2 linked regions of the Neodiprion lecontei genome follow. The protein of the gene in region 1 interacts with the protein of each later gene in a pairwise test. Links are inferred from orthologs where the notes say so. Each region holds a gene or a part of one and is shown on either strand. Other genes may lie near its edges. The genes, in order: epidermal growth factor receptor kinase substrate 8 and E3 ubiquitin-protein ligase Su(dx).

What was found.
Region 2: the proteins of epidermal growth factor receptor kinase substrate 8 (region 1) and E3 ubiquitin-protein ligase Su(dx) interact in a two-hybrid assay, tested with the Caenorhabditis elegans proteins (2 studies listed by BioGRID). The link is inferred for Neodiprion lecontei from reciprocal best matches to the Caenorhabditis elegans genes eps-8 and wwp-1.

Annotation. Positions count from the first base shown.
Region 1 is NC_060264.1:35,608,588-35,612,519, forward strand, and holds the start of epidermal growth factor receptor kinase substrate 8, read left to right. Parts: upstream 1-887; 5' UTR 888-1,015; exon of another isoform or gene 1,016-1,104; intron 1,105-1,110; exon of another isoform or gene 1,111-1,246; intron 1,247-3,932.
Region 2 is NC_060261.1:34,764,022-34,767,953, forward strand, and holds the start of E3 ubiquitin-protein ligase Su(dx), read left to right. Parts: upstream 1-797; 5' UTR 798-936; intron 937-1,746; 5' UTR 1,747-1,827; coding exon 1,828-1,885; intron 1,886-1,994; coding exon 1,995-2,450; intron 2,451-2,521; coding exon 2,522-2,918; intron 2,919-3,086; coding exon 3,087-3,318; intron 3,319-3,426; coding exon 3,427-3,737; intron 3,738-3,831; coding exon 3,832-3,932. Other genes in the region: RNA-binding protein NOB1, read right to left, coding at 1-125, 366-437. UniProt on the Caenorhabditis elegans protein: E3 ubiquitin-protein ligase which accepts ubiquitin from an E2 ubiquitin-conjugating enzyme in the form of a thioester and then directly transfers the ubiquitin to targeted substrates. Ubiquitinates klf-1.

The sequences.
Region 1 (3,932 bases):
AGAAATACAGTCAAGCTGTAGTTGACCGAATTCAATCGATTTCGTAAAAACTTGTAATATGGCCACAGCAAAATTGAAATATGGTAAAAAAAAAAATATCAGGACTACGTTTTTTCGGCTTTGACTTTCAAATTGTCTGAAAAACATCCTTCGGCTTTAGAGGACGTTTTTAAAATAGCGAATTTTCTCCCATCGACACTGGATTATCGTTAGCTAATAACGATTCATGGATGCGAAAATTGTAATGCAACAGCCTTGACTGTATCCTCCGAAAGAATCAGACTGAAGTTAAGCGATTGAAAAATTACTCTCAAGGAGTTGGCTTTTCAAAATTGAAGTATATTTTGTTTACAATGGTTTACCAAATCTCGGACTTTCCTATAAATGCGAAGTACCGATTTTTCGTCAACATGCACCGTTACAGTAACGTTACTACTTTATCTTGACTTCATCCTATTCCGAAAGAATCTCGGGTACAGTTTTCAAAGTTGGAGCTTCCAAATTCTTTCACCGACTCCATTTAAATACCTTCCGCGAAGAAAACAGTTTGGACTTTAACTGTAGTATGTTCTTGCCGTAATAAAAGAAGTTTATGCCTTCCATGTTCCGAGAAATACGAGCAGGTAAAATTTGGCTTGAATTCAATGGCCAGAGCAAGCAAATACCCACGACTGTCGTTTATTGTTTTGCCGCCTTTGTGAGCGCTACAGGGCAAGCCGAGAATCCGCTATCGGTGGCCCAGGTAAACCTAAGACCTCTTCTAACCGATCGTACCGAGCTCCGTCGCAGGTCTCGACGAATGGAAAGCTCGGTACCGTTCCACCTCGACCAATGAGGTGGTTCGTTTCATTTGCTACCTGTCCGTGGGTCGAAGGGGGTGAAGAAGGGGGACACCCGCCCAAGTTTACCTGGGGCTTCGTCAGGTATAGAGGTACGGCACAGGTATTTCCAGTCGACAATGAGTGGGACCGAGGTCCGCCCAAAACTCCGTTGCTCTGTGCCGTATTGTATATAGGTGAGTAGAGTGTGACGTCGGGACTGACACTTGTTGACGGAGTTGATAGTTTTCAAACTTTTATCGTTCTGGTACCTGCAGCTATACCTGTAAGTTGATAAGTTTACAGTGAAAATAAACGGCGGCGATTGGTCTTGTGCCACGCGATTACGATTATAACCACCGTCATATTGGATATTATAAGTTTCGTCGAGCCAAACCCGCGTTCTACCAAAACTCGGCTGTCACAAGGTATTTATCGATGATATTCCACTACACCGATACACCCACATACACGCACGCACATACGCCCATACACGCAGCAGCAGAGATATGGACACTCTTTGGCTAGTCTTAACATCCGACTACCGTAATTTTGTATCAGTATATACATGGGGTACGAATAACACAACTTGAACGGAGCTCCAAGCGTCGATTCCACTTCACCCATTATGCGGCTTATTTCGCAAGCTGTCTGTTTTTCCTGGTTATTGTCCTCTTGAAAATCCAATTAGGGTTTCAGTTCTTGGTGTGTGTTAAGATTGGTGTGTATTAAGATACGGCCGAATTGCCGGTTGAAGCCGAGCTCAATCCCGTACCCAGCTTATGCTGTAGCCCGAGGTAAATATCGCGTTGGGTTGTGACGATAAGGGGAAAGAGGATCGAAAGGAAAAACAAAAATCATACCGGCGTAACTAACAAGAAAACCAAGGTGATTAGAAATCAGTTCCAGGAACTAGCCGCACACGGTGTACTGAATTATTTAAGCGTCTGTACCTACATTGGACGTAATATTTCATCTCGATCCTTACAATTTTGGTCGATCCCGTTCGGTTGTGATGATTAATTAAAACTTGACGAACAGCTCAGTCAAATTTGTCAAAATGCTGATAAGTTCGTGCTAATTTCTTGCCTATCAAGAATTGAAAAGTATCGCGACTTATCTTTCCCGATTAGGGTAATATGCGGTTAGACAAACACACGCATTATTCCGGTAATTTTTGCACGCGCCATGCGAGCTTGATATGCACACCTTGGAAATTTTTTCATCAATTCCGATACAGGGTGTGTCAGCCTAAGGCACGAATAGCTTTGTGAAGCACGTCGTCGTCGCGCAACCTCCCATAAACGTAGGGTAATGTTAATGTACGGAAGAACAACGCGGTACCTATACCTACGCCTCGAAGACATTTCCGATGCGTTTCGTAACGGTCTTACTTTGCCACATGTATGCACACCGACACCGCGCTGCAGGATTCGAGCACCGATTTTCGCCATGCCGTACACGGTGTGTAGATCTATTTTACTTCGCGGTATCGAAAATCGCTTGAAAACACCTGCGCCTAACTTCCAGCGTCTGCACGATCGTCGGACGCTACACACCATATTCCACATTCACAACCAGCCATTAGATTTTCGACCTTGGCCTTGACGAGGTCCGACGACCGATATCTAACTCGGCATCCGAATGTCGAACTTTCTTATCTACCGTATCCCATCAATTTCAAATTGTCAATCAATTTCGCACCGCACTTTGCGGTACAACGATGAAGATCCATAACGTTAGTAGGTATATTTCAAAACGAGCATAGGCATATTATATTATTATACACGAGTTATGAATGCGTACGTGTATTCCGGGAGCAGATGAAAGTTTCTCGACTATACAATATATGTATATATATATGTATATATGCATAGGTATACGTATGCACGTAAGTCGAACCGTGCCATGCGTACACGCGTCGTACCTTCTGTATTTGTGTCAACTGTATACATATACGTATGTGTACACACGTGTTTCGTGTGTGGGATAAGCGCGTCCATTACGGATTGGGAATTTCAAATGTGGTTAAAGTCGCCTTGGAATCTCTGGAATGCGATTCAGCCAAGAACTGATCCCTTCTGGCTGTCTATACATATACATCCTACGTGATACGTACACGATACATACACTTGCGTACATAGGTATACGCATACACACGCCTGTATCGGCGCGTGCATTAATACTCTTTGATGCCGCATGAGATGAGCGGGGGGAGGGGGGGGGGGGCACCTTTCGTTACTTGCCCACATCCAGCCTCGCAAGCTTACATCTCGAATTCGATAGTGTCAACATAAAGGCGCGTGCACACGTGACGTTTCGTTGCCAGTTTTTCACCCGTTGACTTTTGTTCTTTTCTTCTTTCTTCCTCATTCAGGGTCGATGACGATGATGATGTCATTTTCCGTAGGTACGAGACGCACGTTCGCACGTCGGTCGTGTCACTCCGAACAATCAACCGCGAGGAGAATTTGATTCCTCTTGAGGCGCGATACGATATCTAATTCTTGCTCTTCGTACGCCTTTTTTGACTTGCCTATCTTTGACAATATCAGAGACACGATTTTCACCAAAATGGCAGCCTCTAGGTATTGAGGATATTGAGCGGCGAAAATCTCACACATAGTATTAACAATGATGCCGGGATGTTGTATTTCTTTTTCTTTATGCATGGAGTCATACTTCTTGCGATGCTCATGAGAATCTGAAAATATATTTCTAGAGAATTGGGTGGGAATTTTGTAATTATAAGTTTCTATACCAGAACGAGTTTAGATCAGACGCAGTTTTGACGGTATATGAAGGAGAAATTCACCGCCGAGTTGTTGTTACCAATCTAATCTATTTCTCTAGACTGGTTGGTTTGCTCGCGCAGGCTGCAGACTTTCCGTCGTTCGATTTGCAATTGAGAAAAAAGAAAACAGCGTACATACAATCATTCGCCAATTTCTTTCATGAAAAAGCATACTTAGATACCGCCTGCGAAGAAGTAAATATAACGTAATCGCCGTTTGTTGACACGCTTCATGCGAGACTGAAAGTATTTCACATAATAGTTCAAGATGAGCTGCGTATAATCTGTTTGGCAAAACTTTTTACCGTCGGTACTTAATG
Region 2 (3,932 bases), on another chromosome or scaffold:
ATGTTCTCTGGAAAGACATCTTTAATAATCAAGTCGTAAGGTAAAACAACGAGTCTTCTGAGCTGCCGCTTGTTGGTTATTTCATTAACAACATCTTGAGGAGTTATAACGTTGGCAGCGATATCCTGTTACGAAAAATTGGGAGATGAGTTTTTATCATGATATGAGAATTTTGAGCTGAAAAGTGATACGATATCAAGTAATCATAATCTTATCGGTTTAAGTTATGATAAAAAAAGAAGAGTACGAGAAAACGCATTACTAATTAGGTAACGAAGATGGCATAACCTAATTCGAGCTAGTGCAATGTAATTGAGTGTACGCAGGTGAGTGGACAACTGTACTTTATTTATTATTTATCATACCTGTATAGCTGCGTTTCTAATAAATGCACTAGTATCGACAATCAGATACTCCACTTTTGCGTCAGCCTTCATTTTTCCCAGTTTCCAATGGGAGCTTTACATGTGGCCACGCTACACGGAAAATATCACACTTCCATTAGGATATTGGGTCTTTAAATGCTTAAAACGTCTGAAACCACGGAGTGGGAACTACGCAGCTCATGTGAGTTGCTTATGTTTTACAATTACGCTAAAAAACGAGGAAATTCTAGACCCCTGTTCCTTTTGAATACACTCTGTAATAATGAAAAAAAATAAACCGCACAAATCATGACGTTACCAAATTTACGTATCCGTATAAAAATTATTAATCCATTCCCGATTTGTTAAACAATTTATTTATCTCAATTTCGTACTACTCACTTTTAGATCTGACGGACAGCAAGATGGCTGACGTCAGATAGTGAAATATCATGATAACGAATCCTCCGAGTGTTTTTCAACTCAGTTTTTGTGTCTTATAATCGACGATACCGAGCGAGCGATGTTTCAAGACTGCACGCGCCTCAGAAATTTGTTCAATACTATATAGGTTTGTATCCTTATAGTTGAAACGTCAAAACCTATCTGCAATGTATGATGAATCAACCATTCGCGAAACGTCAAGATTAATGTCCCGTATATTACTCATAATTTTCGTTTCATTTTTCTGTACCTCATTTCCTAGTCTAATGTAATACTCCCATTGTTACCAAATAGTCAGTTTACATTTCTTAATTTGTTGCTTGTAAAATAGTATTCCATTTACAGTTCGTTATATTGATTCCTCAACAATTCACACCTTTGTTTTTTATGAATTTTATTTTTGTTAATTATCTTCTCACATGATCAATCAATTGATAGCGACAACATTTACAAATTTTGCTGATCTGTTACGTACTTCATTCTTTCCTCTACGCAACTTAATTTCTATCTGCACCTAATTTATTAAATGAATTGTAATCGTCTTTGTTTTTTTGTTCTATAGTCTTACTGCGCAAACCTCAATCTGTATTCTATTGGCTACAAATATTTAAAGTTCTCTCACTTTGCCAACTAACAAACGATCTAAGCAATTTTTGACCAATTTTTTAGTCAGCAAATAATAAGACAGGAAAAGAAAGTATTCTTCTAACATATAGTTTAGTCAGTTTTGCTGAGTAACAGCTGGATCCGTGATAAGCTGAATTATAAGCTTTCTGAATCACGAAAATAGAAATATTTACAGATTGATCATTTATATTTACCTTACACCAGAGAATCTGATTCACAGAAAATATTCCTAGATCCCTTGAACCTATTGTTTTCAATGATTTTAAGTAAATTCTACACATTATACTAAATGTTCTTTTTTATTTTTCAGTTATACAATACTCTGAAAGCTGAGTTTTAATATGAATGGTATTTCAAGATTATTTTGGTGAATCACATCTAAAGGCAAACCATGTCACAGTGCGAAGTGGAAGCTGCAACTCCAGGGTTTCATCAGCTTAGCATCACTAGTAAATGATAATAGTTTTTTAAATTTTGCATCCACTATGATCAAGTTCTACCTCATCTACTTATCTTAAAAACATGTTGATTTCCAAGATATATTAATTTTCATTTCAGTTGAAGCAGCCGTATTGCGCAATTCGTCATTTCTGAAACCTAATCCTTACGTTGAACTCTCAGTTGATGACAAGAGTCCTCGCAAAACTGAGATTGCAAAATCCACATATCAGCCAAAATGGGTGGAAAAGTTTACCATTCTTGTAACACCTTACTCCCAGCTGCATTTTAGACTCTTGGATCACAGCACCTTTCGTAGGGATGCATTGATTGGTGAAAAGAGAATTAATTTGTTTCAAGTTTTGTCCTACTACAATGGAAAATTGGATAATGTTGAATTAACTTTGGATTTAATGAGCGAAAATAAACACGATGCTTATGGTCCACTATCAAAGGTTGGAGAGTTGGTAACATTATTTGACGGACTAAAAATTGATATGAACGAAGTCATACCCTCTAATTCCTGCGAACAAGTTCGCCACAATCAAGTTACAAGCGGTGCCCTGACGCCACTTGGTAAGGCCTTAAATCTCAGAGATATTTTTTCGCATTAGCTGAAATGTTGATCGAACATTTTTTATTTCTAGGTTCTTCAAACAGTGACTCTGGGAACAATCGAAGTATTCTAAATGGTGGTGTGAGAGCTCGCATGCGATTACACGGATCAGAGAATGCAGCACCTTCCGTCATGCAGCCAGTTATGCATCGAAGTTCAACCAACATTCTTCACAATCCTAGTCACACTGCAAGTCAACCCAGTAATAATACCAACAATGCTCAAATTGTTGGCCTTACCTCTCCTATGGCTAATGGAGTTGGTAATCATTTGGCTACTGAAAGTAGCAGTGGATCAACAGGGCCCCCACTGGGTCAACCAGCATCTGCTGGACCATCTGGAGTACCCGGGGAGACTGAAAATGGTAATCAGCCTGAAGAACCTTTGCCTGCTGGTTGGGAAATGAGATATGACGTCTATGGCAGAAGGTAAATTATGGATTGTCATTTAATTAAAAAGGTTCGTTTGTTTCTGGCGATTTTACAACCATTCTTGTACAGAATATCTGAATCATTGAGTATCTAAAGAGAAATATACTGCTATAAATTTGAAGATTGACGAACTATTTCAGTTTTTTTAGTTTTTTATCGTTCCAGGTATTATGTAGATCACAACACTCGCAGTACATCCTGGGAAAGGCCACAGCCACTCCCACCAGGCTGGGAAGTACGAAGGGATCCTCGAGGGAGAATTTATTATGTAGATCACAATACAAGAAGTACTACTTGGCAACGCCCCAACACAGAGAGGCTACAGCATTTCCAGCACTGGCAGGGAGAACGGCAACATGTTGTCCAACAAGGAAATCAAAGATTCCTCTACCCTCAGGTGATCACCAACTGAAAAAATTGGAGAAAATTTCGTCATTGAAGATGAATTTTTTTTCAGAACAACCAAAAATCTTTTTATTCTTATCTTCTGCACATTTTTTTAAAGGCTCATGGTGGACAAGCAGCAGTGGCTGGTCTTTCAACGGCAGTCGTTGAAGAAGATGATGCTCTAGGGCCCCTGCCAGCTGGTTGGGAGAGACGCAAACAGCCCGAAGGCAGAGTTTACTATGTGAATCATAAAAATCGAACAACTCAATGGGAGGATCCAAGAACGCAAGGACAAGAAACAGGAATGGACGAACCACCCTTACCTGATGGATGGGAGATTAGATTAACTGAAGATGGAGTCCGGTATTTTGTGGACCATAATTCGAGAACTACAACATTCCAAGATCCAAGACCAGGAGCGCCGAAAGGGTATGTGAAAGTTTTGAGAATTTCGGTTTAATCGTAAATTGAGTCTAAATTACTCCAAGTACCATAATACATATTTTGGTCACCTTCTTTACAGGCCGAAGGGTGTCTATGGGGTTCCAAAGGCATATGAGCGATCTTTTCGCTGGAAATTATCACAATTCAGATATTTATGCCACAGTAATGCTCTTCCTAGTC